2 linked regions of the Schizosaccharomyces pombe genome follow. The gene in region 2 interacts genetically with the main gene of each other region. Each region holds a gene or a part of one and is shown on either strand. Other genes may lie near its edges.

What was found.
Region 1: of hem13 (region 2) and erg11, changing one suppresses a phenotype caused by changing the other (phenotypic suppression), as found in Schizosaccharomyces pombe (one study listed by BioGRID).

What each region holds. Positions count from the first base shown.
Region 1 is NC_003424.3:575,124-579,052, reverse strand, and holds the start of erg11 (sterol 14-demethylase), read left to right. Parts: upstream 1-1,899; 5' UTR 1,900-2,430; coding exon 2,431-3,918; 3' UTR 3,919-3,929. Other genes in the region: protein Mcp7, read right to left, coding at 1-372, 467-532. UniProt on the Schizosaccharomyces pombe protein: Sterol 14alpha-demethylase that plays a critical role in the third module of ergosterol biosynthesis pathway, being ergosterol the major sterol component in fungal membranes that participates in a variety of functions.
Region 2 is NC_003424.3:964,544-968,363, reverse strand, and holds hem13 (coproporphyrinogen III oxidase), read right to left. Parts: upstream 2,229-3,820; 5' UTR 1,935-2,228; coding exon 996-1,934; 3' UTR 773-995; downstream 1-772. Other genes in the region: SPOM_SPAC222.17 (uncharacterized protein), read left to right, coding at 159-334, 406-499.

The sequences.
Region 1 (3,929 bases), 390 kb from region 2:
TAAATTTGAAAGTTGTGTTTTAAGAAGTTTTAGTTCTGATTCTTTTGCATGTAGCAGTTCCAAAGTGTATTGATTGGCATCATTTTCGGTTCCTTCGTTATCCCTTTTGGATTTCTCGAAACTAATGTTTTCATCTAAAGTTTTAGATTTTTGTTTCAAATCATCAAGTTGAGCTTGAAGAGATCCGAGAACTGACTCTCTTGAACGTTTAGCATCGGAGGGAAAAGACCAGTAGTAATTGCTAGTGCCAATCTTTTCCGTTTTGACGATATTGTCGTCAACGAGAGACTGTAAAACGTCCTTTACAGTTTGCAAAACGATTTGCTTTTTAGAGCCCAGCTTTTCCACCTCCTTTAGTTGAAAAAAATCTTTCTATAAAAAAAACATAGATTAGCAATGTGGAAAGTGAGACACGAATGGGCAAAAATCATGTTTTGGCACTTGAACAATCATATCACGAACTTACAGAGTCATGGAAAATGGCCTCTAATCTTCTTCTTTTCTCTGCAAGCGATAGTCCCTTGGGAGGCATTGTTTAAAAATTTATTAATTAGTTTGAACAAATATGGAGTTTAAAAGTTTGTTGTGATGCAAGAAGTAGATGCTTTCTAATCTTTTGGAGAAATGAGAGTTTAGATCCCAAACATTTACTGAATGATAACGTAGTCTGCTAAAATGCACATCCGCACTTTCCAACTATGATATATACCCTATAATGTCTTACTATCGTATTGCAACATAATGCAATGCAAAACGTTATTCAGCTATCCTAATCTTTTTGACCCTTGAGGAAATTAAGGAATTAAGTGAATGGGGTTGGCTATTGTCGCACAAAAACATGTGAGGAAAACTTCCTTTTGCCACGAAATCGAAAAGACTCGAATACTGATAGCAGCATGATTTTTTTTTTCTCAAGAGCTTTTGTCGGCGCTCACCTTACTGTACGAATTCGGTTTTACAACCTTTTATTTATTTTTCACTTTATTATTTTCACACAGCGAATTTCAAGCAAACACTGACTGACTAACACATTTCCACATACACACACACACACACATAGCATTCATAAGAGCAACGATGTTTAATGTCAGCGCAAACAAAATGTGTATTGACTTTTGATAAGAGATACTCAGTCAATTTGTCTACTAATTTCAACTATGGCTGGGTATTAACCGGTGTGCCATGTTCGCAGCTAAATGTGTTTTAATCTAGATTAGAATATGGGAGTAAGTGACAAACTTTGGGAACCGCTTTCCCATGGGTAAAAACAGGTGTGAAAAGGATTATTGTTTTTATTACTAAACAATCGTATGCAAAGTCATGCGACCAAAAAGAGCGAGTTAGTTAGGTCATTAGATAAGCTTTTGGATGTTCGTAAGCTAAACGACTTGTCGAGCTAAAGTTGTTCGAATCCAATTACATGTTTGGAGAAGACGTATAAGGAGGCACGGTTGGTGGTTTACCGAACAAATAGTAGAAGGTATAGTAGACGTGCACATGTTGACACATTTTTATTTTTAGGTGATAAAGTAGGGTAGAAGCAAGTAGTTTGTTAAATGTGCGTTACGAGCTACGGTAAACATGTGTATTATCTCGGTCCAATGGACGTGCCATCGTTCGATCGCAACATAAGCCCCGCAGTCATTCACCTCACAAACCCTCGAATCGTACGATGTCGCCCTATTCTCAGGTAACAAAATTGGATTTCTCATTGGCTTAGTGGCTAATTCACCTTGACCAGAAAGAACAATAAGGTAGTATCTGAAAAATATGATTGGATAAAAAAGTGTAATTTTGAAGTGATCAAGTAGCATGTTTTTTTACGGATTTTCAGCATAAACAAACGGTTACACGGCCATTATGTTGCATATATAATTCTACCAACTCCCATCAGTCAGCGCGAGACCCAAGTTAGCTTGAATCGTCGTCGAAACCAGCGTATTTGGTGTCAAAGAGAAGATAAATCGATTCTTCACTTGTAGAAGTACCTTAAAAAAGACAAGATCTAAAATTTCTGTATCGATCGTTGTTTTTGAAAATTGTCTTTTCAAAATCCCAATCTCATTCGTTAAGTGAAAGGAAACGTAATTTTTTTTTGTTTTTCTTTCATATTATTGTCTGTTTTCGATTTCGTTTTTAACGCTTTTTTCTATTTGTTTCATTCGTTGTTCTCGTAGCTGCGTGTTAATCAATTCATTTTTTCTTTCTCCTTTTCTTTTTCAAGTTTATTTGCATTAGCTCAAAGGGTTGAACTATTTTTATCTGTTACACATTTGTTGTTGTTGTCGTTGTTTTTTGGTTGGTCTTATTCGTTTTTGGTTGCTATCTGCTTACCCCTTACTACTTTACTGACTGATTTTATTTTTTTCGTCTGATTATTTTTTACCTGCTTTACCCACTTGAGCATTACTTTTTTTTTCATAAGTCAGGATGGCATTCTCTTTAGTTTCGATTTTATTATCGATTGCATTGGCTTGGTATGTTGGTTATATTATTAACCAACTTACCTCTCGCAATAGCAAACGCCCCCCAATTGTCTTCCATTGGATACCCTTTGTAGGTTCTGCTGTCGCATACGGTATGGACCCTTATGTATTTTTTCGCGAGTGTCGTGCCAAATATGGTGATGTTTTCACCTTTGTTTGCATGGGTCGTAAAATGACCGCTTTCCTTGGTGTCCAAGGTAATGATTTCCTCTTTAACGGTAAATTAGCTGATTTGAATGCTGAAGAAGCTTACTCTCATTTAACTACCCCTGTATTCGGTAAAGATGTCGTTTACGATATTCCCAACCATGTTTTTATGGAGCACAAGAAGTTTATCAAATCTGGTCTTGGCTTCTCTCAATTCCGCTCTTATGTCCCCCTCATTCTTAACGAAATGGATGCTTTTCTCAGCACTTCTCCTGACTTCGGACCTGGTAAGGAAGGCGTTGCTGATTTGCTGAAGACCATGCCTGTCATGACTATTTACACTGCTTCTCGTACTTTACAAGGTGCTGAGGTTCGCAAGGGCTTTGACGCTGGTTTCGCTGACTTGTACCATGACCTTGATCAAGGATTTAGCCCTGTTAACTTTGTTTTCCCTTGGTTACCTCTCCCTAGAAACAGACGCCGTGATAGAGCCCACAAAATTATGCAAAAAACTTATCTTAAAATTATTAAAGATCGTCGCTCTAGCACTGAAAATCCTGGTACTGATATGATTTGGACTTTGATGAGCTGCAAGTATAGAGATGGCCGTCCTTTGAAGGAACATGAAATTGCTGGTATGATGATTGCACTTTTGATGGCTGGTCAACACACCTCTGCTGCCACTATCGTTTGGGTTCTTGCTCTTTTGGGTAGCAAACCTGAAATCATTGAAATGTTGTGGGAAGAGCAGAAGCGTGTTGTAGGTGAAAACTTGGAATTGAAGTTTGACCAATATAAGGACATGCCTCTTCTCAACTATGTTATTCAAGAAACTCTTAGACTCCATCCCCCTATCCACAGTCATATGCGTAAAGTCAAACGTGACTTACCCGTCCCTGGTTCAAAGATTGTTATCCCTGCCAACAACTATCTTCTTGCTGCTCCCGGTTTAACTGCTACTGAAGAGGAATACTTCACTCATGCTACTGACTTTGACCCCAAGCGCTGGAATGACCGCGTCAATGAAGACGAAAATGCTGAGCAAATTGATTATGGTTATGGTCTCGTTACAAAGGGTGCTGCTTCTCCATACCTACCCTTTGGAGCTGGTCGTCATCGTTGCATTGGTGAGCAATTTGCCTACATGCATTTGAGCACTATTATTAGCAAGTTTGTACACGATTACACCTGGACTCTTATTGGAAAAGTTCCCAACGTTGACTATTCCAGTATGGTTGCTCTTCCCTTGGGTCCTGTTAAAATTGCTTGGAAGCGTCGTAATTAAGGGAATTTCCC
Region 2 (3,820 bases):
TTGCTAAACTACGGGCCATTTGTGAGTTTTGATATCTGTCTACAAGCGTGTTAAAGTTACTCAGCAATACTCATGACATGCAGCTCTTAAACAGCGTTAGCCTGACTTCAACTTATTAGATATAGCAGTACGACTGAATCTTCCTCTGAAAGAGCATAATGGAAGAAAAAGTACAAGAATTTTTGAAGGATTCAACCAAAGAACAGAAGGTCTTCTTTGAAAGTCTAAACAATCAAACTGAACGAGTTTGCCAACAAACGGAGTCAGGGGATATCTCCTGCATTGAATTGGCTGCAGCGGAGACAAAATTGTTTGCTACTATGCAATCTTTAGGGTACGTAAGATGGGAGATTGTTAGATTATTATCCTATATACACTTACTGTGAGTTTGATATTAACCAACAGGTTCATTTGCACTTTATCAGCAGATCCCAATCGGCCCACTGTATTTGAGTGTAAAAGGGAATTAGATACAAATGAAAGAAAAGAGCGACTGTAAAATTTGTACCGATGCTAACGTTTTATGACTTGTCTATCTCAATCCGTTGGGGATCGACGTCGTTTTATCATAAAGACAAGACACACACATTTTACCTTCATCTTCTTTTTTTTTATTCGTATTATTTTAAAGAAAAATACATTGAAATTAAGTTAATGAAAGTGCAGATCAGTTGAAATTTATATTGTGAAATTAGATCTCAAGCCAAATAGGTACTGTACTTTACTTTAAAACTCTTTATAAAACACTACTCAATAAAAGATACGGATTTTTAAAGGGTAAAATATTGTTTCATTAGCTTAGAAAAGGGATTCAAAATCGCAAATTCAAACAGTTAAGAATTCCAAATAATGAAGAGCAAAAAAGGCATGATAGAAAATTTAACATGAGTTAGTGTAACATGGCATAGTTTAAAAACAAACGAAAGAATAAAGCTATTACCAAAAATTGTGATGTTCATTAAATGCTGAAGTAAAAGTCATTTTTGTGAATCTTTCTAGCACCATTCAATAGGGGTATGCGTTACTTTAAGGAGAGCCTTGTGACGCTCTTGTTTAGGCTCATACTTGTAACGCCAGGAAGCATGTAATGGAAGGGTCATAAGAATAGATTCAACACGGGGTTCAGGAGCTTGAAGACCAAACCAAGTACCTCTGTCATACATAACGTTAAACTCGGCATAGTATCCACGACGAATGAGTTGGAATTCCTTATCATCTTCAGTGAATTCCATGTTCTTTCTCTTTTCCATAATAGGGACATAGGCAGGAAGGAAGGTATGGGCACAATCCTTGACGAAAGCAAATAACTCTTGAGGATCTTTCTCAGAAAGATCATCAAAGAAAATACCGCCAATGCCACGAGTCTCCTTTCTGTGCTTGATGAGGAAGTATTCATCAGCCCATTTCTTGAAGCGAGGATAGAAAGTGGGGTCATGGCGATCGCAAGCTTCTTTATGCAATTTGTGGAAATGCTTGCCATCTTCTTCAAAGAGAATGCTAGGAGTCAAATCGGCTCCACCACCAAACCACCAAATCTTCTTACCATCACTGTTTACAAGTTCAAAGTAACGATAGTTCAAGTGAGTAGTAGGGGCCATGGGGTTGCGAGGGTGAATAACCATACTGATACCAGCAGCAAAGAATGGAAGCTCTTTGGCAGTACGATCAATACCTTCATGATTAGCACGCATTCTTTGGACAGCGTCTTGATTCAATTTTCCTTGAACAATACTTGTGTTGACACCACCCTTTTCAAAAACGTTGCCATCTTGAATAACACAACTGATACCATAACCACCTTCTCCCTTGGTCCACTTGTCTTGGAAGAATTTTTGTCCATCGACAGCTTCGAGACCAGCAACAATTTCTTGCTGAACATCGAGAATAAGCTTCTCCATCTGCTTGCCAATAGGCTCAACGGTAATGTCAGACATCTTTTTATTTACTTTACGGATTTGCTCAAAATGTCCAAAAAAAAAAGTAACCAAAATGGTATTTAAGATATGATACAACCGATTGGATGAATTGGTATTAACACAAGTGAAGAATCAAAACACTGTTCAACTTGCGAATTAAATTTACAACTTGGTTGTTTTGTTTTCACAAAAACACTGTGCCAGCAGCGAATGGGATTAGGGGGATTTATATCAAAAAATAGACTAAATTCAGATATTTAAAAATCGAACGATTTCTGGACAGTCACGACCGTAATGGCTCGTTTTTCTCGTAAGGTTAAGAACACAATCCGGATTCCACGATCTGAGTGTTTCGTTACTGCACCTTGTAGTGCGATATATAGATTCCTTCGATGGAAAACAATTATTAGTTTTATATGAATTTGATTAGGATGATGTTAAACATCCTTTTCTTTGACTTATTATTAGACTATCTGAAAAATGGAGTTACTTCTCGTCTATGAGAAATGTTTGTAAGTTGCTTCGCTACTAGCAAGCAATAATGTTTTTAACTGCTTGGTTTACAGAAAAGCACAAGAGTATAAGACAGATGCCATGCTTACTTTTTCAACTTGTTCGATTTACCATTTCTTAAGTACAAACATTAATAAGATCATCAACCTATATTTTTTATGAACTTTACATGAATAATTACATGATTAAATCACTGAAATTATATGAAACTATAGACAGAATTGATGCTAAAAATAATTTAGGAAAAATATGAATAGCGCGATCGCATAGGGGTAAAAACATGATTATGTTTCATACTTGGATTTACTAATGAAGAACGGTTTCTCATACCTATGAATTGAAGAGTTAATTTGTTCAACTTTACCATTGTTGATTTCAATAACTTTTTAGATGTAAAAAAATAAACTAAAATAAAACAAAGACGTTTCTTTTGTTATAAACTAATAGATTTACTTTTTAACCTATAGTTTAATCGTTTTTTTTTTTTTTTTTTTTTGTAATTTATCTAAACTCGTATATGAAAATAGTATGTATTTTAGAAATTATACGAAGAATCTAATAAAAAAAGATTCCTTAAAATGTATTTCATATATACTTGAACGAATATGTAGATTCCATAAACAGAATTAAATTGTAAATGGGCATAAATTTCAGAGAAAGCAATTGTTTATAATAATTTAAACGTTCAAAGAAAAATATATATATTTTCGTGGAGGAAAATAAAATTCTAAGACGAATGAATTTGCTAATACGAGTGACGATTAAACATACTATTTATTGCTTCACCTACTAACCTTCGTTGTAATTTATCTACTTTTTAAAAAACATTAACTCGTAGTTGCATGCTAATTAGATTACCTAGATTTTTTTAAGGTGAGGTGCAGCTATGCATTTTGGCAATCACATATGGTTAAGTATTTTACTATGATTAATCTAGCAAAAATAAATATGACTGAAAGATACCAAAAAAAACTATTTTTTTTTTAGGTTTACACAAGCAAATAGTAGATGCTTTATTTTTCACCTTATTAAAAATTGATTTCTCGTAAAGTACTGAAACCAAAGTACGTAAATTGATCAAGTTGGTGTTTACACTTATACCTCTAGCTCAACCTCCGTCTCTTTCAACAATATACCGCTAACCCAGATTCCTTGATTTTGTCATTGAAATAAGTTAAATTCTTTTTTTTGCTTTCTATACAAAACAAAATTTCATTGTATCTCTGAAAGCATCATCATAATCATATTCCTGAAGTCCTTTTGAATTGCTGTTCATAACTTATTACTTCTCGAAGCTGGGTTTGAAAGCGTAAATATTTACAGTGGTTACTTCTTTGCAAAATTAGTGACCATCCTTTTTCTCTCTCACTTTCTTTTTCTTTGAAAATCAA